4 linked regions of the Bombyx mori genome follow. Each later gene encodes a partner of the first gene's protein in a complex. Links are inferred from orthologs where the notes say so. Each region holds a gene or a part of one and is shown on either strand. Other genes may lie near its edges. The genes, in order: syntaxin-7, syntaxin-18, vesicle-associated membrane protein 7-like and syntaxin 5A.

The links.
Region 2: syntaxin-7 (region 1) and syntaxin-18 share a complex: the UniProt entries of both Homo sapiens proteins name them as parts of the SNARE complex. The link is inferred for Bombyx mori from reciprocal best matches to the Homo sapiens genes STX7 and STX18.
Region 3: syntaxin-7 (region 1) and vesicle-associated membrane protein 7-like share a complex: the UniProt entries of both Homo sapiens proteins name them as parts of the SNARE complex. The link is inferred for Bombyx mori from reciprocal best matches to the Homo sapiens genes STX7 and VAMP7.
Region 4: syntaxin-7 (region 1) and syntaxin 5A share a complex: the UniProt entries of both Homo sapiens proteins name them as parts of the SNARE complex. The link is inferred for Bombyx mori from reciprocal best matches to the Homo sapiens genes STX7 and STX5.

What each region holds. Positions count from the first base shown.
Region 1 is NC_085107.1:5,738,263-5,744,787, forward strand, and holds the start of syntaxin-7, read left to right. Parts: upstream 1-2,224; 5' UTR 2,225-2,425; intron 2,426-2,502; 5' UTR 2,503-2,507; coding exon 2,508-2,613; intron 2,614-6,525. Other genes in the region: PAN2-PAN3 deadenylation complex subunit PAN3, read right to left, coding at 1-41, 114-188. UniProt on the Homo sapiens protein: May be involved in protein trafficking from the plasma membrane to the early endosome (EE) as well as in homotypic fusion of endocytic organelles. Mediates the endocytic trafficking from early endosomes to late endosomes and lysosomes.
Region 2 is NC_085127.1:13,547,833-13,553,891, reverse strand, and holds syntaxin-18, read left to right. Parts: upstream 1-1,699; 5' UTR 1,700-1,839; coding exon 1,840-2,616; intron 2,617-3,251; coding exon 3,252-3,440; 3' UTR 3,441-3,458; downstream 3,459-6,059. Other genes in the region: cotranscriptional regulator FAM172A homolog, read left to right, coding at 4,017-4,034, 4,114-4,264, 4,561-4,855, 5,291-5,645, 5,715-5,799. UniProt on the Homo sapiens protein: Syntaxin that may be involved in targeting and fusion of Golgi-derived retrograde transport vesicles with the ER.
Region 3 is NC_085119.1:6,313,514-6,319,894, reverse strand, and holds the start of vesicle-associated membrane protein 7-like, read left to right. Parts: upstream 1-1,873; 5' UTR 1,874-2,063; coding exon 2,064-2,267; intron 2,268-3,108; coding exon 3,109-3,292; intron 3,293-3,980; coding exon 3,981-4,039; intron 4,040-5,012; coding exon 5,013-5,228; 3' UTR 5,229-6,381. UniProt on the Homo sapiens protein: Involved in the targeting and/or fusion of transport vesicles to their target membrane during transport of proteins from the early endosome to the lysosome. Required for heterotypic fusion of late endosomes with lysosomes and homotypic lysosomal fusion.
Region 4 is NC_085118.1:10,687,607-10,694,226, reverse strand, and holds the start of syntaxin 5A, read left to right. Parts: upstream 1-2,727; 5' UTR 2,728-3,528; coding exon 3,529-3,553; intron 3,554-4,902; coding exon 4,903-5,054; intron 5,055-5,225; exon of another isoform or gene 5,226-5,437; coding exon of another isoform or gene 5,438-5,443; exon of another isoform or gene 5,444-5,477; intron 5,478-5,664; coding exon 5,665-6,091; intron 6,092-6,620. UniProt on the Homo sapiens protein: Mediates endoplasmic reticulum to Golgi transport.

The sequences.
Region 1 (6,525 bases):
GCATGGTTAAGAGAGCGTGTGGGCGTCGAAGTTGAGCGACTCTAAAATTTATGACAATTAAAAAAAATCGCTTTCTTAAAATAATAATAAAAATTTAAAAAACAATGTCTTACCATGTATGTAACTAGCTTCGATTCTTGTGGAAGCCCGTTAGGCGGTGCGTATGGTAGAAATATTGATGGATCCATAATTTCAAAACTGCAGTGCGTCTGTGCAGTCTGCTGCAAAGAAGAAAAAACATAGTCAATAAATCAATAAAAGTAGCGTAGGTACCTACTTCACAGTTTTGTTCCCAACTTATGTAGGTAGTAAGCACTTTAAAATTGACCTACCTTAATTTATGATTCTTTTCGATTCACAGTTATTCATGACAATGAGAGTACCCCAACATGTCGTTATTAAGGGTTCAATTTCAACCAGACATATTTGGAAAGCTAGAATACTATATTAAATACGTGATAGAAATCAAACCCTCAAAAATCTAAAAACTACGTATTTCATTGTCTCAAAAGACGGGGCTTAAAGGCAATCTTTATTGATTCATTCACACAAAACACTGGGGCAGCAATTTTAATACAAAATTCACGGACTCTCAGAGACGGGGACACGAAGACAATAGAGACATTAAACAGGAACAGGTAAGAGATGAGTCCTAATACGTCGGTGAAGGTAGTGTGTACCAGTGTACGTACACTACAGTGAAACAGTCTTCCATAGACTAAAAAACATTACCCATGTAAAATGTAAGTCAACATTATAGAATCTAGTACAATCCGGGGTGTGTGAATTCGTTAGCATAACAATTTAATGATTTTCGACTTATTCTGATAAATTTACCCGTATTGGAATGAATCTGTTGTTTATGTGCAGTAAAAGATAAGAAACTGAAAAATACATAATAAGGTTTTTGTTAATTAAGTTGGTCTGAATCATCAATTTCTTGCATTAATTATTACAAAATATTTTAGTTTTCAAATAAAGTTTTTATGATTAAAAATACATTATCTAGGGCCGGTTTAATTAAAACATCATGCTAAGAAAAGAGTTAGTTATTTTTATATTTCACCTTGTTAGGTATTGTTAAGATTATATTTAATCTCGCCTTTTTTCTAGTTTTCTCATAATAGGTTGAAACCGTGCTACCAAGATCTAATGGTCGATTTTATAGCCGCCACTCATGATAAAAGGAGTTATAGGTTATTATTTTCATTTGAAAGTTTTCATCATTATATGTATGGTTTTATTTTTATTTTTAAAATATAGTTGATTTTAAAATTTTACTAATTAAAATATAAAAAAAATACTGTAAAACATCCATTATCCACTTTTTAGAGCATGGCATTCCAGCCTTCTAAAAGGCTTGCTTCGAACTATCTTGTGAGACGATGAGTTTAGATGGGATAAAAAATGACCCAGAAGTGGCTTAGCGGGGAAATTAATGTAATTCTAAGTCATTCACTCCATTTCATGACAAAAAGAGCATGACCCATTTACGAAGCCTTCAATAGTCTCTTACACTATATGATGTAATGGAAAAGCTTGTAAGGCCATACCAACAATGAAGCATTTTCTATCTTTAAATGCGCGATTGTATCAGAGTCTATTAACTGCTATCAGTGAGCTTTTTATTTTTTGAACTAGTCTATGGGCCAATATGTGCTGGCGACCAGCAGATTCTTAGTAAAAACGTGTCAATGTCATTCTGCAACGATTAGGGAAGATACGTGAATACGGTAGTAGTACCCTAGCCAGTTTTTTGCTGAAGATGATATATAGTGGGAAAGAGAGAGCCCTACTATCTCTATACCGATCTGATGTTACTTAAAGAGAAGGCATACATTTTGTAATAATTTTTTTTCAGTTTAAGCATTTAATAAATAATAAAATAAGTTTTCAAAAAGTTCAAGTATCCAATAGGTTCAATTAAATTGAAAACAGTAATCACGTCAGTGAGAGCTTTGGGAAAATTAAACATAATTGCATTGGGTTTTTAAAAAAATGCATTGAACTGTTTACAAATGCCCACCACGTTGTTGAGAGTTAATTAATTTAATTTTATCCAACTATTGCTCTGATGTCTTATGTCATATAATTTCAGTCCATTTAAAATTTCACATAACAGACACGCCTTCCGTCCTTTTTACAAAAAAATATCTATGGGCTCTGTTTTCTTTGCCTTTCTACAGAACAAATCAAACAAACAACAATCTGTTTTGTCAACTGTCATTTTTGATGAGTAATTTTGAGCAAGCAGTAACTGCAGTCCTATGATCAGCTCTAAACTTATCTGTAGTAAATGAGTAGCATATTCTGCGTTTGATTGTTTTCTATCATAGCTCTGTAGTGTATGGGAAGAAGAATACAAACCATTATTTTAATTAACATAAAACTATACATACTCACCATCTCTTTCAATTTATAGTGGGTAGGTACATGATTAATAACACTATATTTTCACGTTTACTTTCATTGTATATCGATTATTTATTGTTTATTTCGTAGTGAAAATGGAGGCGTCTTATCAAGGAGGTGTGTCATACGATGAGAATGGAGATAACTTTCAACGACTTTCTCAAACTATCGCCAGTAATATTAAGAAAATATCCCAAAATGGTAAGTGTTATTTTGAATGCTGAAATGTGAGATTAACGTATGTGAATCTAAGCCTAATATTAGAGAGATACAAAATTACTAGGAAAAATCAAATCAATTAGAAATTTTACTGATTAGAATCGTTCTTACTAAAGTTTTTCTAACATGTGTTTCAATATTTAATGTTTTAAGTTCTAAGTTAGACTACAAAACCCATAGATAGCACTGAGAATGCTGCCACCTTCAGGCTCCTGGAGTCTCAAGTGTTTTGAATAATGTTGGCTGTCTCACCATTCACTCTGGAACTTGAGACTACTTTGAGGCTAAAAGAGACAGGATCTTTCTATCATGCTTTTTTTCTAAAATGTTGAATTCGCTCATCGCCAAGTGATCTCCTTGCTATCATTATATGCCCCACTCTTACTTTATTATACCAATTTTATTTGAGCTGTCAATATTCATCTGAAATAATAATAATAATAAGGATTAACTTTGTACAACTGACGACCGCCAGTCTGGCGTAGGATCTTTCTATCATGCTTTTTTTCTAAAATGTTGAATTCGCTCATCGCCAAGTGATCTCCTTGCTATCATTATATGCCCCACTCTTACTTTATTATACCAATTTTATTTGAGCTGTCAATATTCATCTGTAATAATAATAATAATAAGGATTAACTTTGTACAACTGACGACCGCCAGTCTGGCGTCCCGAGGGGGAGGGTGATGGGAGAGATGTGCTCCGCACTAAACGCTTCACTTTCCCCCCTTTGCCTTGTCATGAGTTCTGTCTCATGCGAGGTTTGGACATTGGTTGTTGAGCGACAGGAGGTTTTAGTCAGTTCGACTCTGACATACCCTGCTCAGTATCCCCAGAAAATGGTGGAAGTCTGGTGATTTCCTGCTGACCAAAAAAAAAAAATGTTTTGTTTAGATTTATTGACTAAATGGTGTCTTAAAATTATTTAACTTGAATAATGCATATACAGTCAAAACCGTTTACTGCGACATCGTTTAATACGACATGCCAGTTATAATAACCAAGAACAAAGGTCCCGGCTGAATGCCATATGACCGCCTTATTAAAAATATTGCTTTCTACGACATTGCTTATAACGACATACCTCATAAAACGACCACATTTAACTAATATTTCGGAGAATTAGATCTGTTAGAACGACCGACTAAGCTGTATTGTAAACAATTTGAATAGGTATCCACATTTGTCTTCAATGGCTATTAAAATCAGGAAAGAAAACAATAGGATTTAGTTTAGTGTAGGGTCTTTTCTAATTCTTAGAAACAAAACACGTGCATGCAGTAGAGTCAAAGCCCGCTTCTTCATATCGCTTCAGTTAGTTTGTTACTTATCTATACACAAGACGCACCAAAACTTTGTGGAGTTATTCGTGAAACTTTCAAAATGTCGCAAAGAAAAAGAAAACAAATTAATATTGAAGAAAAATCGCGTATTATGTAAATATATTTTTCCAATAATTCCCTATCGATTTGTTTGTACTTTCACGATACACATTATATACATCACCGGTTGTTACGACTATCGGTTTTTACGACTTAATATGAGCAGTCCCTTCGATGTCGTTATAACAGATTTTGACTGTAGTTGCTATTTGTAAGTAAACAAATATAAATATTAAGAAAAAAGTTTTATGAAGTTAGATAAAATATATTAAAATTAGGATAATGTTTGTCCTTAAACATATGCAAAGAAAAAATCAGTCTACATCAAAAGTAAAGTATGCTTTATTGTACACCAATATCTGAACTTTTACTACATACATAATTGTTATGTATGTAGCTATATGTAATAATAAAAATAAAATAACACATGCACATGTGTACCAATCATATAAAATAAATAAAGATACAAAACGTTAAACAAAAGAACAGTGGTGAAATCACAAAGAGAGGCCTCTTGAAAATAGCCAATATGTGAGCAAGAATTTTTGAATGAAAGGAATTTACTGAGGTGTACTTATCAAATAAAAAAGAAAAACAGAATAGTATTTTAGTATTTACAAAATTCATCATTAAAAATGCATTTTGATAGTTATGTTTATACCAAAGCATTTGAAGTCTTATGTTAGAGCACAGCATATGCCAGTTTGATTTGAACAATTCTTTATGCATTTTTTTTTCTACCTATGCTGATAGCCTTGAGAGGCTATTTCAGCTTCACCCTAACGTTTGTAGGTGAGCTCGCGGGGCTCAACCGGAGAGTTGCTAACACTGACCCTAGCAAGAGCAGTGCTTCGCAGAATCTACCACCGGATCGGAAACGCGACCCACTGAGAAGATCCAGCGAGAAACTCAGTGGGCTGTGTCTATGGGTTTTTTGCATTTTGTCATTCAGTTATTTATGAAGAATCTTAAATAATTAATAACTAACATAAGTACTTTTAATAAATTTCAATATATAAAATAATAAAGCCTTTTGTTCAGACAACAGATTTACAATTATCTTTCTTATACTACTGCACTTTTATGTATTTAACACAATTAAAATTATTCACATATTTGGTGCTTCTTTACTTTCTGTAAATCCATAGGCTGTTGGCAAAGGCCTCCTCCAACCTACTTTATACTGATCTCTTTTGATCTTGTGTAATTGTTTTAAAAATTTTGCAATTGTTTTCTTATGTGGTTGGAGGATTGTGCTCCTTTTCTCCTGCAAGGACTTGTGGCTTGCAGGAAATTGTGTTATTTCTTTTGTTTGGTTTTCATAATTTGGTTGGATTATCCGTTTGGCGGCTGTTATTGGTTTTTATGTGTGAGGATATGAGTGGGAGGGTTTGATCGGATTCTCATCAAATCGAAGGCGTTTGTCCTGTGTGTTGTGGTAGCAAAGGCTTTCTCTTTTATGTAACTTCCTAAGCTACCAATATATAGATTCATTTTAAGCTCTGTATATTTAGTTTACTTCCATAAATAAATTAAGGTCTCTTTTAAAGTACTCTTTAACAGTTTGAAATAGTTCTAACATGGATTTTTCGAAATTGTTAATATGAATTATGGCAATGACTTTGGGAAATTACTCTTTTAATACTCATGTACATAATATAATATATAATATAATATAACTACTTTAGTTGTAGACGTAGTAGTAAAGAACTAGAAACAATATTACAGTGGTCTCCACAAATAAACAAAACCCATAAAAACTTGCTAGAATGTGCTATTTTGCAATGTGAAATTTAATTAACAATAAATTGGCTTTAGAATAACATTACAAATTAAATTTTATTTATATTTTAATCCTAAGAAGTATATCGTATTTCACAATTCTTAATTTAGTAGTATATATAATATACGTATACATACATTAGAAAATGAAATAAATTGATTGTATAAGGAAAAAGCAAATGAGAAAAATAGCTAAAACTTTTCACTTACTACCTATATAATTACTGTTGTACATTTTCCTTGTACATAAATCATGTTTTTATGTAGTTGAACTTCATTAGTGCTTATCAGGACTGTTAATATGATGGCTCTGTTAATTGAAATGATTATAATAATGATAAGAAACATTAAAATTTAAAATTAAAATTTGCTAAGCTTTAAGTTTTTCAGTAATTTTCAAAACTAAAAATGTTCCCTGAAATCTGAACTATTATTTTATATAATACTAGCGACCCGCCCTCGCTTCGCTTCGGAAACATTAAAACACACATGAAACCTAAAAAAAAAAAAAAAATTAAAAAAGTAGCCTATGTTCATCAGGGACAATGTCGGCTTCTAATGGAAAAATAATTTTTCAAATCGGTCCAGTAGTTTCGGAGCCTATTCGAAACAAACAAACAAACCAATCTTTCCTCTTTATAATATTAGTATAGATTATATTTCTACTATCTAGTAAACAAAGGCAATCGTTTAAATACATTATCCATAAAATACATTATTCATAGGTAG
Region 2 (6,059 bases), on another chromosome or scaffold:
AAATTGTTGGAAATCTTATGTTTGGTTAAATCAAAACAAATAACTTTTTTGTATTCTTTTAGAGTTATTGGATTCTCAACTTTTGAGCCGATCACTTAGTTTAAGTGATTATCTATGGATCATTTCACCACTTGTTTTTCCTACCTTAGCTGATTGTCGAGAGAGACCATGTCAGCGTCACCAGGCTAGCTCACCTAAGCTCACGGGGCTCAAACCTGAAGACGTTGCTAACACGAACCCTGGCAAGAGCCGTGCTTCGCAGAATCTACCACGGGATCGAAAACGCGACCCACTGAGAAGATCCGGCGAGAAACTCAGTGGGCTGTGTCTGTGGGTTAATTTACTCGCCGAGCCCTTCGTCGCGAGCGTCGGGTTCACCAAGAATGATGACCGGTGCTTGGGTTACTTAAAAGCACCGTTAGTGGATCTTTTTTTTTTATTGCCTTTGTATATATATCTTTTAAATCTCTGTCTTCAATGGGTTGATGTTGGATGGTTAAATTTGAGGTGATTGGGTTCTGTAGGTGATGGAGGGCTATTTAAAAACACACTGCTTCATTATAATTATATTGCAGATAGTTTGAACACCATTTTAAAATTATTATCTTTATATTTTTATAAAACTTCTTACATGTTTCTTTGACCGTGTCTAGATTAGAAGTATTGACTTTTTCTTACGAGAATACAATCATCTGTTTTTTAAACGTTTAAAATAATTCTAATATTCGAAATCTGTAATCATGCGTCAAGTGCTGCCTGCCATTACATTTATATTCAAACTCCAACAGTTGAACTGAATTAAATTCAATTCACCCAACTGAACTGAGAACTGTCTAAGCATCTTCATGCTTAGACAGTTCTCTAACAGACCTAAATTTGATCGTGTCTGCTGCACCACGCTCTGAGCGAAGCTCTCATAGCTGATATGTCATACATTATAACACAAATGTGAAACCTAATAAAAAAAAGAAACAAAAAAGTTAAAAATTGTGTATTTTTTCTAAACTTTGAAACCGAGTTTTAAAAAAAAGCAAGTGTTCAAATATCAGGCATGTACCTTATCTATTCTCGCCACAGTGAGCAAAAAAGTGCCTTAACATAGAAATAAAAAAATATATTTAAAAAATCATAACTCGAAAACTATTAAAAATCGCGGAACGTACATGGGGGTGGTTCGGATAGCCCTAGTGATGTTCTACCTCTGGACTTCGGCTTGACACTATTTTTTAGGGCACCCTGTATAAGCGACAGAAGCTTTATAGAGTGGTGTAACATTTATTTCTGTCTCTCTTCCGTCTCCATTCGATCTGAAATGCTTTCGGCTACTGTAAATTTACGAGCAAAAGACTTCAGATCAGATTGTGTATAATAATTTTTTTAAGGGATTTTATGACCTGATAACTTTCTTCGGATGTACATACTGACTTTTTATTTTTTCACATAAAATTATACGACTAACTAATTAATGCTAGGCAACAACTATTCTTCTTAATAAACTTATGATGGTTAGATGGTTGGATGGCAAGAAGACCAGTTCTAACATGAAGAAACACTAAATAGACAAAATAAAACAAATCACACAACTTCACTCCACGTGTTCCCGCCAAAAAGTCCATGTAGCCATCACAGATTAAAATATTTATTACTATTAAAATATTTATTACTACTTAAAGCCATGCTTACTTTGCCTTTTCAATTGGATAATTTTAAAAAGAGAATTTGGTTAGTGTCTACTCTGTGAGGACATTATTGATTTGTCAATTCAATTTGTCAAAAACGAGTAAAACTTACGTGTTATTGAAGGAAAAAACATTTAAAACATAAACAAATCCTCTTAAAATGGATATAACACCATTATTTAAGGCTTGCATAAAAACTGTTAAAACTCGTAACAAGGCTTTCGGCATACACAGTCCGATTAGCGAAGATAAGCAACGCATATTGAGGGTGAAATCAAAAAATGCTTTCATGGCAACAGCTAAGGATATTTGTTCACAAATTACAAAGCTTAGGGACTTTTTATTGGAACACCGCGATAAATATTTAAGCTTCTTCAATAATGTTACTGGAGACGATATGTCTGATGAAGAGCGCGACCAAATAGACACCGGTGCGCAACGTATCATGAACACATGCTCACACCTGCTAAAAGAGTTCAGGAATGATAATCGAAGAACTACAGTGACCCCACAAACTAGGGAATATATGGACTCAGTCGTAGATTTAATTGATGCTTATTTAAAAGCTGTTTGTAAAGTGCATAGTGAATTGAAAGCAATGAGAGTTAAGCGAGCTTTAGATATGAGAAAATTGTCTAGACTTGAGCTACCAGCGACCAAATCTAGTATTCCTAATCCGTTTACACTAGATAAGGTAATAGAAAAAGAGAATGAGACAGAAGATGAAAAAGAAAATACAAAAACAAAATTAGACTTATCAGAGAATGAGATGGCAATTATGTCTGATGAAGGAGAGTTGACTTCAGAAGAGTTGCAAATGTTTGAGTCGGAGAATGTACAGCTGTTAAATGAACTAAACAGTATGACGGAAGAAGTTAAACAAATTGAAAGCAAAGTACTACACATTGCAGAACTTCAAGAAATATTTACTGAAAAGGTAAAAGGTTAAAATTGAATAAATACATAAGCCATTTAAAAAAAAAAACAGATTACAAGAAAAGAATATCTGCCACCAGAGAGGATGAATGTTGTTTATTATAGTCTGTGTATTATATCTTTATAAAATTGCACATACTGGTACATACATATCATAACTATCTTGATCTTAAAATATTCATATTTGGATGTTCTTTCATACGTAAACTATTGGATGTAAATAAATTTTTCAAATCCATGATACTTTAATTGATTTATTTAGATTCAAATTGATATTACTGTTTGTAAAAGTATAATTAACAGTAGCGGTTAAGAATATCTGCCACCAGAGAGGATGAATGTTGTTTATTATAGTCTGTGTATTATATCTTTATAAAATTGCACATACTGGTACATACATATCATAACTATCTTGATCTTAAAATATTCATATTTGGATGTTCTTTCATACGTAAACTATTGGATGTAAATAAATTTTTCAAATCCATGATACTTTAATTGATTTATTTAGATTCAAATTGATATTACTGTTTGTAAAAGTATAATTAACAGTAGCGGTAGGCAGGTAGCTTTTAATAATGAGATATACAAACAGTTTGTCTGACATAAAATGTAAAAAGTGTAAATATGTTTCAGGTTTTACAACAAGAACAAGACATAGATAGAATATCGAATACAGTTGTCGGGGCAACTGAAAACGTTAAGGATGCCAATGAACAGATTAAGCAAGCTATACAAAGAAACGCAGGCCTAAGAGTATATGTTCTGTTCTTCTTACTGGTCATGTCGTTCAGTTTGCTGTTCCTAGATTGGTATAATGATTAAATTTAGTAGTTACTGGTGGTTTTGTGTTTCATTTTCTAAATAATGATAATTTTACAAAAAAAAGGAACAGTTTTGATGATAATAAAATGATCTTAATTGAAATTTTGGAATCAATGATGTTAATATTTTCGCTTTAAATAAACACGTTTTATCAGAGGCTTCTTATGTTTTTTTATGTGAATACGCAAATATTTCACTATCGGTTATATAAAATATACACTATTATTGCTAGAGTTTCGATCTATACTTTAGCCAAACATTTTTTTAGTTGTTTAAAATACAACTATACATATACTAACTAACTATTATACTTATGCTACTAACTTTAACTTATATGAATCTTAGTTGATAACATGAGAAAATGCTGTTAATTAACGTTGTACCATCTATATTATTTTAAAAATACCACTATTTTATTAATTTAGTTACAAATATAACTTCGGTTTTTTACCAGTCGACTAACTTGGCTGTATGTGCTATTTTCTCTTGGACTATCTATTTAAACGTCAAAGTCCAAACTGTCAAGTTCCAACCCCGGGACCTGGGGATTGTTTATTTTTCAGTTTCAAGACCTAGATGCATATAAATTCAGCTGTAATAAAACATATATCAATGTGTTTCCCTGAGGTGATCAATACTGCAGGATGCGTACTTACCACCCTCTCTGTTGCAGTTCATGAATGTAATTCGCGCAGTACGCACGTCGATATCAAAAGTACGACTGCGACCTCACAGAAAGTCGATTGCATCTAGTGCTAATAAAGTGCATTACAAAATGGAGGGAACGAAAACTATGAAGGAACTGGGATACATATTTGATTCAAGTAACATTCTAAATTTTTTATATCATTTAATTAGTGCCTCCACTTATGAATAGGAACAATAAGAAATTTCAGAAATAACTTGAAAACAGGTACAGTTAAGTGTATGCACGAGACCCTCTTAGTGCCAACGCTTAAGGGTGGTGATAACCACTTTCCATTAGATCCATATGTTCATACCAAGGCAATTAATATATGTTGTTAGGGTATTACTTGTAGATATTAAATGCTACACTATTTTCTAGTTTCACTTTTAAATTAACAATAATATGATACTTAATGCTTTTACTACCAAACAGATGGTCAAGTAAGAAAAATTGGAGCTGATGGACAGCCAACAGATGAACCATTCCAATTTGTTGTGAGCAATGATCACCAGGAATGCCAAGCTCATTATGAAGAACTTGGCTCAGCAATCACCAATTATGTTTATGATATTCTTCAGACTCAGATTGGATTGCAAAAGTTACCAATCCCAAAGGATTCAAATGATGGAACATTTATTTTTGTTTCAAAAGATTATGATAAAAAAGATGTTCTGTTAATATTGATTCACGGATCAGGCGTTGTGCGAGCTGGTCAGTGGGCTAGATCGTTAGTATCATGACTTAATTACTAAATTTTGGTTTCAAGTATGTTTAAAATTAAAAATAAATAATATTGATGATGAGATAAAATTCAAAATGCAAATGTTATTTTGAATTTAGACAAGCAAAGCCATTTTTGAGTAGTACTTTAATAACTTTGGATATATAACATGAAACTTCTTCTTAGTACTGAATCATAAAATTAATATAGAAATATGTATATAATGGTGGCTCAATTCCTGATTCTGTTCATTATCCTTGGTTGGTACAATGATGGTATTACCCTTCTGTTCTTCTTTCACAATGGCAATACTCTATTCATCTATGTATTAATATGTACGTAATCAATGCATATTTTTTGTTTTCCCCATGTCTTGTTTTAAAGTAGGTCACGTAATTAGGCCTGCAGTATATTTGTTCTGAAATGTAATTTTTGTCACAGCCTCATAATCAATGAATCGTTGGACAAAGGATCTCAGATTCCGTATATCAAGAAGGCTTTGGCCAAAGACTATGGAGTAGTGGTACTAAATACAAATGACAATCACACAGCAGATGGAAAGACCATTCTCAACAGTAGCACCGCTGAGGAACATGCCCTTTACGCATGGCTGAACTACATATCCAATGCGAATGCAAGTTCCATACTCATTGTAGCACATAGTTATGGTGGGGTTGTCACGGTTTCTCTGGCAGAAGAGGTGCAAAATGACTTTGAAGACAGAGTAAAGGCCATTGCTTTTACTGACTCTGTACATTCCTATTCTAATAAGAAGCTTACAAACTTTTTGAAACAGGTAAGAATGTAACTGGAGGCATGCACAGTTGAAATTTAACTTTTCCTAATTGGTTTCTCGATATTACAGGTTACAAAGAATTGGATATCTAGTCAGACACCGCTGGATACACCTCTCAGAACTCCTGATTTCGATATAACCAGACTTTCAGCAGGTATAAATATTGCATTCATAAAATCAAATTATTTGTGTTTTTAAGGGGAATAGACTATGGCTATTCTTTCTTCTATGAACTTATTTTCTAGATTATAATTACATACTTATCCAAATCTTTGCACTGCCTTTGTCCATGAGTAACACTGAGCATTAATCACTGGTTCAGCTAAAAGCTTACTATTAAGTGCTGCAATAGTAACATTGAAGCAACCATTGGTAAAGGTTGACTTAAACCACTGAAACTCTGCATTTGTGTTG
Region 3 (6,381 bases), on another chromosome or scaffold:
ATATGTTAGATTGCAAACGTATTCAATCTATGTCTCAAGACGGAAGGCGTTTACCTTGTAGAGGATACGGTATGCGATAAATGTTTGAGACAAAATACGCAGCGAGCGAATCTGTAGAAAAAGAAATGTAGGTATTGTTATAATATACCTATACTGTGACAATGGTAGTTTAAACAATTTTTTTTTCAAACCACTCCATTCCTTCCGATTATCGTCCTATTAGAATTAATACCAAAATTACTCGTTGCAATTCATGGTTTTTATTACACTTTACTGCCGGACGAGTTGTTTTGTTAAACGGCCGTCTCATTCTTCAAACACGAACGGTTTACTTCACGGTGAAACTGGGCAGGACGGTGATAAATTTCCGTCCTGGCTCAAAATTCGGAGTGTATGAGTACGTAGGCAAATAATATTCAATTATCTCAAAGAAGCAAGTTGAGCACATGCGTGGCACGCTTGTCTGCACATGTCTCTTAAAACTGATCAATTTATGTACGGTGACAGTTTTAGCGAGCACGAAACGATTTTAGCTTCGGCCGACACGGAAATTTATTTTAGAACGATCGTGTGATATTTGTGCGATACTGAATTTTTCAATGCAGGGTTGTCAAACGTTCGATTTTCTCGTTTTTTTTTTTCTGTAACCCACAAGCATCAAGTAGGTATGTAAAAATATCGGTAACAATCCATATCCTTATGGTAAAAAGGAGGTGTTTGTTTGTTCTTGAAGATGAAAAACAAAAGTGATACTGGTGATTCATAATAACATGATTATTTTGATTTTTTTTCAGTTGTTTTTGGTATACGAATGTCACGAAAGAATGTTATAAATTAAAAAATCCGCCAATGTAGATAAGCTTAGCTTAATAAATTATTAATGTGTGTTTTATTGTTCGCGTTGTTGTAGTATATGTTGCTTCGAGGAAGATTTCATTCCATTATTTTTAATAAAGGAAACATTTTTCCTTCATAAGTAGATTTAGTATCGCGTCCCCTAATTCTATCAACATCTGGCAGCAGCATACTAAATGTTGGCCACAGTTATTGTCTTATTGGCATAGAATATACTACACTTAACCGACTTACTGTAAGCAAGTGATTTTATTAATACTAGAGGTCCCGCAGTAGTCGAAATTCGACTATAATTAATTGGAATTGTAAGTTTGTACACTATTATTATTGTATTTTATACTTCTATAGTCACAAATTTCGCCAAGACTACACTATAAAAAATATTAACAAAGACTAACAATATTTAATCTATTCTCAATCTGACAACAGAGGTCAAGAACAAAAGTTGGACAATAAATAGTATGCATGCGTGTGTGCGTCAAATACATGGTATGTAGTGTGTGTAATGTTTTCTTTATTGATTTAATGTATCTTTTATGCATTATTTTAAAAAAATATTAGCATTGTGCACTTCTTCTCTATATTCTCTATAAGTGTGGAAAATTTCATACTCCTCCGTCCGCGCAATTTTCGTAAAAAGGGATACAAAGTTTTTGCTTCACGTATTAATATATAGATATCGCGGACTCTTGTCATAGCAACAAGACCAAATTTTCAGTTTTTAAGATAATTCCTCTTATATTTTTAGACACAAACAAATACAAGTCTTGTATTACTGGGTTTTTTCTTTAAACAAAACCAATGAATATTTTGTTGAATTAAATTTGAAGAATAATGCATGCACAGATTAAACAAATCTGTTTTATAATGAACATTTTTGCGCACACGTCGGTCCATTTGGTAACAAAAGGTTACCAGAGTCTTGATATCGCATCGGTTAAACAAAATACAGAGAACACTGGCTAATGTGACTAGATCTGTTTTATTTCCGTCAAAAAACGAATGACATCCTTAACGCATTGCGTTTGGACATTCAAAATCTTTAAACCGTGGGCGGATCGAGAGGACGCCACATCGTATAGTTGCGGTTTGTACTCTTGTAATGCAGCAGTTAAACAATATTCTTCAAAAAAATTATTGAAACTGATAATAATAGTGAAAGCGTCAAATGGTGTGAACAGTGATAATAATTTGTAGTCATATTTATAATGCCTATATTATTCAGTGTGATAGCGTGTGATAAACGAGTCGTTTCGAAATTCGCAACCTGCGATGGTAACTTCGTGGAGATATCCGAACGAATGGTCTCAAAAATACCGGTACATGATCACAAGATGACGTACCTTCACGGAAAATATTTGATTCACTATGTTGTTCACAAGAAAAATATATTTCTTTGTATTACAGAAAAGGTAAGTTACGATTTCGTTTGAAAAGGACTTCTTACAAGTTAAAAAACATACATGAAAAAATAGAATATAAATATTGTTCTGAAAGTTCATTGATAATGTCGTCCAATACATTCGAATTGCTCAAAACACGTCATTACGGATCCTCCCGATCCATTAACGGTGCTTTTAGGTACCTCAAGCACCGGTCACCGTCCTCGCCGAACCCGTCGCTTGCGACGAAGGGCTCGACGAGTAAATTAACCCACAGACACAGCCCACTGAGTTTCTCGCCGGATCTTCTCAGTGGGTCGCGTTTCCGATCCGGTGGTAGATTCTGCGAAGCACTGCTCTTGCTAGGGCCAGTGTTAGCAACACTTCCGGTTGAGCCCCGTGAGCTCACTTACTGAATCTAGAATAGCCCCTCGAGGTTACTAGAATAGGTAGAAAAAAAAACGAATAGTATAAAACGAAAATATCTCATTTTTATTGTGGCCGGTGTTTAAAACTTGTTTTTTTTTTATTTCGTTCTCGTCAATAAATTTCTTAAAGATATTAGTTATTCGATCTGGTGCACTTATTGTTGTCCCATATATCTTCTGAACACATAGCACAGAGAAAATTTGGACGAACGATTGCCACTTATTAAATAGGTTGAATATTGAAACTAAACATATACGTCAGTTGAAAATTGAAGAAACTTTATTTACATATTTCTGTATGTGCAAGATTGTGTAAAGATTTTCTGTTAAATATGAGAGAAGCACACGTCGTTATTCGCATAAAGTTCCCTTATGTTAGCTTAAGTCAGAATTATGTAAATATTTTTTCTATAGTCTTCAAATCAAATGTATTTTCTTAACAGAGCTGTCAGAGATCAAGGGCATTTTTATTCTTAAATCAAATCCAGAGACGATTTGCTGAATACGTAAAAAATTTCGAACATATACTGGCAGAGGAAATGTACCGATACAATGAAGATTACAGTACTATAGTTATAAGAAATGGCGAACTGGATGAATTGAACAGGATCAGCGTTGAAAGGAGTGGTAAGTTTTTTTAAACATTTTTTATTAAACAGCTTTGTAAATATGTAGGATGGTTAAGAACGGAACCTATGGAAAGAGCGTGGAACGGAGTGTTAAGGTGTGAGTGAGAGAAATTTGTGAGAAATAGAGAGAAATAATAATAAAAAAAGCAAGACCGCGAGGACGATGAAGTGAGCGATGTGTAAAAAATGTGTCAATAAATTTTTAGTTATTTATTAAATAGTTTGGTAAATATGTAGGATGGTTGAGAACGGAACGTATGGAAAGAGCGTGGAACGGAGTGTTAAGGTGTGAGTGAGAGAAATTTGTAAGAAAGAGAGAAATAATAATAAAACAAAATGGCAACATGGCGAGGTCGATGAAAGCAGCAATATCTAAAAAATGTGTCTATATTTTTTTTATAATAACAATTAAATTCCAATTATACGTATGTATGTTTGTATGTCTTCTTTATAATGTGATTTGCATCGATTTTAAGACGTACCGACCACTAATCAGAAAGTTTGTACACGAATGAAGGACCGTTAGCTAAACAATAATTTTAATTGCTCTAATCGCTCTGAAATCCTGACCGGTATTCAAAAAAGGTACAAAATAAAGATAAAATTATTTGTTGGTACGGTTTGTAATTGAACGTACGGGTTCTTAAACTACATTTAATTTTAAATTAGTTTTTTTTTCTTTTCAGAAACAATTCTCGGCGAGAAAATGCTTTTAGTTGATAGCATCGATAGTTTATCGTACAGTGTAAGTTTACATAAGACATTAAGCCTACAAAATATAGTCATTAGCTATTTCTCTCATAAGCATGAATAACGTAAATGCCATTGTCTCGAGACATGATTTCTAACTCTGTTCTACAGTATAACAAGGACCACCCTTCAAACGGGGATCCTTACTGCTCCGCGGGAGAAATACGGGGTTGCCTTTAATTTTGATTTTATTTAGTTTCGCTCGTTATAAATGTCTCTGCCGGATGTATGAATGCGGCGGAAAAAAAGACTATCAGTTTCAACATTTTAAATGGAAAAAAATTCACAGAATACCTATTAAATAGTATGTATGAGTCGACTATTATCAAAGCCGGCAATGTGACTTTTGGACAATTATTGGTAAATCAGAAAAACGAATTATTGACTTTGTATTCCATTGGCAGTCACAAAACTCTTCTGCACGACATCTTAGATAAATAACAGGTTAAGTATTAACCTTTATTTAAGCAGGTTTTGAACCGTATTCTTTGAAGGAGACGATTATATTCAAATCAATCTGTATTGACATATCAATAACATTTTTTTGTCCAAATGCACAGATTGCCACCTTTGATAATAGATGACTCGTATAAACAAAATCTATTACCAAATCAAGTTTTTTATTTTTTTATTGCTTAGATGGGTGGACGAGCTCATAGCCCACCTGGTGTTAAGTGGTTACTAGAGCCTATAGACATCTACAACGTAAATGCGCCACCCACCTTGAGATTTAAGTTCTAAGGTCTCAGTATAGTTACAACGGCTGCCCCACCCTTCATACCGAAACGCATTACTGCTTCACGGCAGAAATAGGCAGTGTGGTGGTATCTACTCGTACGGACTCTCAAGAGGTCATACCATCAGTAAAGTGAATCGATCAACTATGGCATGCGAGTTTATTTAAGCGACAGCACACAAGTTTATAGTAATATTGTATTATATAAATAACACATACTATTTTGTTACAGACGATTTCGTACGTGGGTAGAGCTCCAGAACAAATATCTATATCTGTACAAGATAAACAACGTTTCAATTTTATTTTCATAGGAATATTTATGATTATTGTGGGATCTTCTGTTTACGTTTTCGGGCCGATATCTTGTGTCACGGCCACAGTAATTATAGTATTTACATTCATTAGATCACTATACGTATCCAAAAATAAAACTCATTCGAATTAAGGAGAAATTGACGACATTAAGATAATTTACTTTCGCGGTCTCATTGAGTTGTTTTCGTTCCGAAACGTATGCTTGAATTTATTTAGTAAAATTAAATAAATAATCTTCTATATAACATTCAGTTATGAACTTCGTATGTAATTTCGTTTTGATTCCTTTTTACAAATAGATATTTACGTCAATAAGCGGCAGGGTGTATTTTTAAAGTTGTTTTTGTAAATAAAATATGTCATATGTTTTGTGTCATGTTTCATAATTTCATATTCTGTAACGGTTACACGTTATACATATATATTTATTGTATGGATGTATTTTCTTTAATAATGTGTTGTTAATAGTACACCGCAATATATCTGCTGTGCAGAATTTCGGGTAATTAAACGGTTGTCTGGAGGAGATTGCTTTTAGCGATAAGACCGCCTATTGTACCAACTCATCTGCTTCTTGACTGTTTTCTGATGTAAAATTGTGTTTTGGTGTGCAATAAAGTATGTTCTCTCTCTCTCTCTCTCCCTCTAACGTTTTTATTTTATTAATTGTCTTTGTTGGTTAGACGAGCATACCGCCCACCTGATGGTGAGTGGATACTGTCACTCATGGACGTCAGCGATGCCAGAGATACAGCCAAAGCGCTGACTACCATTCAGTACTCTGCGCAAACTTCGTTTGAAGAAAGTCATATCGTAGCGCTCAGGAAAGAGATAGATGATACGTGGCAGAAAAAATGGAAACGCTGGAAACTCACTATGGACGAATGCACAAATTCATCGCAATTAAATGTATCGTTGAGGCGAAATTTTAAATAAAAAAATTGTATTTAGATTTCGATACACATAACATTTTTTCCTCATTTGATTATAATATAATTATGTAGAATAGGGATCGCAGCGCATAAAATAAAATTTCCACTGTTCCAAAATCTTCTGTTATAACAATAATTAATACTTTTATTAAGTCTTGCTCATTTTTAAACCGTCTTCGCCATCTTCCAATTCTCTGTAATTCTGTCTGTCATTCTCTTCTCCCTTTCTTTCCGTTTTCTCTCTTCACATCTTAACGCTCCGTTCCACACTCTTTTCATACGTTCCGTTCTTACCAATCCTACAATTATTATATGTCCAATTCTTTCGATTTATATGATTTTTAATCTGTA
Region 4 (6,620 bases), on another chromosome or scaffold:
AATTGTTTTGCTGACCTAAAGTCCGTAACACACTACCGCAGCGCACCTCAAGGAAGGTGCGCCGCACCATTTGAATCACTTTCACGTGAGAGTGATTCAAATTTTAAACTTATCGTAGGACCGCGTGAAAAAAAAAACACCTATAGTCGGATTTTTAATTAGACGAAGCCAGCTGACAGTAGCTAATGTCACTTTGTGAAATAATGTTGCTATATTTAAAGTAATAGTGATGCGTTTAGTTCTCGTTCAATCACATGAATGAACAATGAGTGTGAAGAATTAATCATTAATTTCAAACTATAAAAGAATATTATTTATATTTTACAATAAAATTGTATTAAAGTGCTCCAATATATGTTACTAGTAGTATGTAACTACAATCAGTATTTTGGAGTTTACTCCTTAAGAATCGATTTACATATATAGGCCCGGGGTATGAAAATTATGGGGACCAAAATCGTACTAGAGAGTATAGCATGTCACACGAAATGCGTTATGCGCCTGATTGGCTCCTGATTGGCCAATCAGGAGCCAACGCGCGGCCGCGTTATCGCAGGTGACGCCGGGCTGCTGCGCCGGCAGTCCGCCACAAAGCCTCGTACTGATCGCGCGTTTCTCTCATTATTGTATTTTCATATATTTGTTAGTCGTTTGTTTTGTGTCTCGTTAATTTGTTAATAATCTGTAGTGTATCGTGTTGTCGTAATATAGAACTATTTCTCGTATTGTTTCGTTTAATTTACCGACATCGTTTTGCTTGTGGCCGGACGCCGTTCGGGTTCGATTCCTGAACGTATCAACTGTTAGTGGGTTGATACCCGAATATAACCCGCTACAAATCATTTATTAATAAAGCTTATTAAATATAAACAATTCCTTCTATCAGTGAATGGACAACTTATATATTAATTGTAAAAGTGAATTATATAGACTTACTTAATTACCGCATCCACGTGTTCCGCAACTCCCGGATCATTCTCACTAGAATACGTAACTTCCATATTTTACTGTATTCAACTGACACAAATTTATATTTATATCCAGTAAACTCCAGTCGTGCGTCGGAGCGGACACACACACTTTTTTTTATTTTCGTTACATACCTATAATTGTTATATTTTATACATCTATAATTTCAACTATCTGATGTATTGGAAATAGGACAGTTTTACAAGCTTCCTCGCAATGTTTTTCATAATGTTTAAAACACTCGGTATTCAGTACAGGTAGATACTATAGGAACATAATATTTCGTCGAAAACTCGTTGGTATGTACAAAGCACGCATAAAATACGAACCCCGTACCCGATATCGGCAATTCGGCACACCTACTATTCATTAGACAATCGAGGCAATTTCATTAATTCAGGAGTTTTTTCAATCGTTCACTTTGTCACAACACTATTTTTATTTCATCAAAACCTGACAACACAGTAAACGTCAGTTTACTTCGTCTAATAAAAAATCCCACTATACAGAACATTTATTCATTAATTACAAACGTCATTCCTTGTGACTTCCTCTCTAAAATCACTTAATTATTAAATATTTACCGAATTTACAATAGTGTTTTATTCACTGCGGCATAAAACTATTTTATTTAAATAGTTCCGAAGAGATTTTGTCGGTAGCCTTTTTCCCGAAATATCTAAACAGAATGTCAATAATATGTTTTGATGACATATTTTAAAGAGGTATTTATAATTAGTGTCATGATCAATAGATTCCGACCGAAAAATGATTTTTCGGATGAGGGCTCCGTAATGAATTTAAATATATATAGATAATAGTTTTGGGGCATCGACTTTCTTGAGATCCTATAAAATACGTTTTAATTATTATTTTTGTATGTTTTAAGCATGATAAAATATGAAATTTTATATAAGCAATCATATTAAATCGCAACCCAAAACAGACGGCCGAACTGACGTGACAATGACATTTGGAGCGCTCAACATGGCGGATTTTCGGCCTCATTAGACATTTACGTATATTCATGTTTCATTTTATGTACGCACTGAAATACTGTTATATTATTTTCCTGCGAGTTAAAGTGCTGAGTAAGAACGAGATAGATATATGTTTATGTGTGTGCCTTCAAAATGGGTGCTATTTATATAAGCAATTGTACGTATAGTACAATATGTCGTGTCCCTACTATATAGGTCTATGATAATCTATGATAAAAGTGAACTATAAATGACAGCCCCAAACTAATGAACATTTTCCAAATAAGATATGACCTAAAGGTCTCTGTCACCACGTCATAAAATTAAAAAAAAAAACAAAAATGACAGCGACTTTTTGGCGGGAACGGAGGAGTGAAGTTGTGTGATTTGTTTTATTTTGTCTATTTGGTGTTTCTTCAGGTTTAAATGTGTAATAATGGTGGTTTATTAACTGTTTAGTATCTGTGAAAGTGCACAAATGTGGGAAAATGAAACAAAGCCGCCGGACGTCACTTCTCGGGATCCTCCAAAAAGTCCAACGAAAAAGTCTCAGTAAATGACCACCAATTTACTGAGATTATATTTCATCCCATATCATCTCATTTCATTTCATTTGATTTCATCCCAGTTGATTAATGTCTCAAATTAATCATCTTCATTTCATTTCATAATTTTTCATAAAAATAAGAGTATAAATTAAAATAAGACATGACTTAAAAGTCTTAGCTACCAGGTCATAAAATACCTAAAAAAAGAGAAAAAAAAATGACAGCGACTTTTTGGGGGGAACGTGAGGAGTGAAGTTGTGTGATTTGTTTTATTTTGTCTATTTAGTGTTTCTTCAGGTTTAAATGTGTAATAACGGTGGTTTATTAACTGTTTAATATCTGTGAAAGTGCACAAATGTGGTAAAATGAAACAAAGCCGCTGGACGTAACTTATCGGGATCCTCCAAAAAGTCCACTAAAAAAATTTCAGTAAATAACCACCATTTTACTGAGATTATATTTCATCCCATATCATCTCATCATGAATACTTGTATATTCAATTGTCCTTCGACATGTCCACCACCATTGTCAATACATTGACGGGCAAGTTTCATTAACTCGTTTTTAACGAGAGAAGTGCGCTTCTATGTCTTTTCACTTCGTCAAAAGCGTCCAATATGCGCTGTTTTAATTGTGCGAGCCTAACCGGCTCGCTTCTGTACACACATCTCTTAATTTCACTCCACAAAAGAAGTCCATGGGCGTGAGGTCAGGTGAGCGTGGAGGCCAAGCTACAGGCCCAATGCAGAAAATAATACATTTGCTTCGGTATTGTTCAGTATCCTGATGCAAAATGAAATCCTCGCTACATAATCAACGGTGGTTAATTCCTGAGATTTCCTGTAGTGATATGGATATAATCCGGCCTTATTAACAATCTTCCAGGCACAGGACTGGCTGTTGTTAAACCGTCGAGCAGTGTCATTTGTACTCCGTCGGGGATCCTCTTCAAAATACGCTAGTACATCGTCGTACAGATTTTGTCACAACGCCAGTCTTCCTCGTTCTTGACTATGTGACGGTGCGTGGAATGAACCGTGATCAAGCAAATGCTGGTAAGCATTTACCACGGTTCGCACATTTGGCTGTCGGGCGTTCGGGTACTCTTCCCTGTACATACGTACAGCTGCACTCGCGTTCGGGTATTCTTCCCTGTACATACGTACAGCTGCACTCGCATTTTCTCCACTCAAAAAGTACCCACGAAGCATAGCTACATACTCCCGTGATGTGAACTGATAAGCCATCGCATCAGGGAAAACTTAAACAAACAACTGTTGCAACGAAAAAAAGCATGCGCACACTTCCGCTAACAATTTAGTAGTGTTTAGGTTTTTGTCGTTATTGTTGAGTTGAGTTGACTTGAGTTTCCTGGAATTTATCAATGGAGCAGCGCCCCGTAGATACTAAAACCCTGCCGCACGTACTTTCGGTCATTGATTTAGTTATTTAGCATTTACCAATTATTACGTATTTTTATGGACAGTTCTGAGACTTCGTGTTTTTTTTATTTTTAACTACCATATAATATGATTAGTTAAAGATACTTAGAGCCCAGTTAATTTTTTTGTACTAATTTAAAAATAGTGGTGTATAGTTATAGGACCACGCGCCTGTTATGACAACAAATTTACTGAACATATAATTACGGTAACATTAAGGTTATTATGAGAATTAAATAACTCGCTTTTGGCCCCAAATTTAAAAACGACCCATTGATCATCACACGATATAATCTTTTGATACACACACACATGTTCGTTGGTGTCACTTCTTCGTCATTTAATTTAAATAGTTGGAAGTGAAGAGATCGACCTTCTCTATAGAAACATAAACACATTGTCATTAGTCTGCCAAAAATTGCTAAGACAAACAACTAGGTATACCCACATCAATTCTAACGAAGTGGTACAACAGTTAAATTAATATGCTTTTTGAGATTACATTGAAATGGCTGTTCCAGATGTTTGTATTGTGAAAATTTTGTTGAATATGTTTCAAATGACAGATGAAATTATTATTTTATTTCTATAGAATTTTTACGGCAACAATTTGTTGGCATGAAGAGAAACTAAAATCCATAAAAAGATGAAAATGAAACAGGACTGTAACCCAAAGAGTAAAAAAAGTAGATCTGAGATAAAAAAAAAATTAATTGTATTAATGCCGGCCACTGACATGCGCGCAAATATTCGTACATTGTACGAATGTTTGCGCGCATGTAAAGGGCCGTCAAACATTCATTCGCAAACCTAGCGGCTGTGCAAATGGGTTCGCATACTCAATTTGCGAACCCGTTTGCGCTTCCTCCTACACTTGTTTACGAATGTCTCACGAATTTCTCCTCCTTTTTAATTCGTCAATAGAACATTGAAAAGAAAAAGATTTTTGAATTCTTTCCCAGACATGATTAACAGCCATGCTGTTTTTATGGGATTTCTTTTGATGAAGATACGCTACACAGTAGACGTCACGAACTATGAAAACGGCGTTACCTTCGCAATCGTCGGCGCAACTGGGCAAGCGAATGTGTGGGAGACTACGCGAAGGTTCGAGGTTCGCGCGCTTTGATGTCTGTTAAAAAACCGACACAGCTTGGAAAACCACGAATGCAGCGAAAACTTTGCATAATCATTCGCAAATGTCGTCCTACACTTGCGGGTTTGCGTATTCGTGCGCATGTGAGTGACAGAGTGAGTAATGGACAAACTAAGCCAGAATAGTCTATGACTACCCCTACGTGTTAAGTGTATTATCTATGACTACGTGTCTGGAATCTATCGAGTGATTAAAAATAAAGGATTGTGGGTAGGTACCTACATACCTTATCTAAAAAATGGAATAGTGGGACTTGATAATTTAAAAGATAGATATATCATCGAGTTTTGAAAAGAATCGATGAGATGAAATGATAAATATTGTACACACATGAATGTACTATGAAAGTACGTAATTATTTGAACGCTATTGGTTTTCTAAGTAAGTATTGGAATGTAAAATTGTGAAATACTGCCTCAATTATGTAAATTGTAAGTTTTCATTTTCAAACAAAATATCCCCAATCATTAACAAGTAAAGCATATGTGTGGTGTAACAGTACTGTTTGACTTAATGTAATTTACTTATCAAACAAAGTTGACAACGTTTTTTCTGTAAAACTTTATAGGTGAAGACTGAAGACTACAATGCGATGCTTCCTCGAAGGCGAAATATAGGCGTTACAGAAAGACTCTTGGAAACAGAAACGGATTCATACAATAAATTAGATAAGAAAGGTGTTCATTACGGGGAATCGCGGCCTTACGAGAACTCATCAAATTCCAAATCAACATTGATTCTTAAATCATCTGACCAGGACGTGTTTAAATTTTTAGAAGAATTTGTTTTTGAACCAGTTATGGCTTCAAGAGATAGAACAAGTGAATTCATTTCAACTGTACGCAGTCTCCAAGGACGTTTCTTAAACAAACCAACCGTAAGAGATGATAGAAAAGCTGCTGTGTTGGAAACTTACTCCCAATTCATGAGTATGGCAAAAGTAATTAGTAAGAATATTACTAGTACATATACCAAATTGGAAAAGTTAGCCTTGTGTAAGTATTTTAAATGATTCAGGCATAAGTCCAATATGAAGTGTTATATTCTTTTCATTTATTGCTTTTATAAAATGTTAAATAAACATTTTTTTTTAATAAGATGTAAAAGAAACGCTACATTTGCTATAAACTAGGTACAAAGAAATTGTTCTCTAAAATGAAGTTAGGTCATAGAGGTAATGATACCAATACAAACAAAAATTGCCCTACAAGATTTATATTTTATGTATGTTACTGTATATCAAATCATGAAATTCAAAATTAATATTGTGAAAAAAAATAACAAAATAACTTCTTCAGCTACCTAAATGAATGAAGTAAAATTAATTGAAGTTCAACCAATCATGTGAAATTCAAGTGAAAACATCGAACTGTTGATGGTAATATCAAATAAAAACGTTAATTACTGAGATAAATGTAGTGTATTGAGCGAAACGTCTTTTAAACCAAACAGCCTTTCACTCCTCAATATATATAAAATATAAAAAATGAATATATCAAGAATATGATAACAGTCATTTACCAC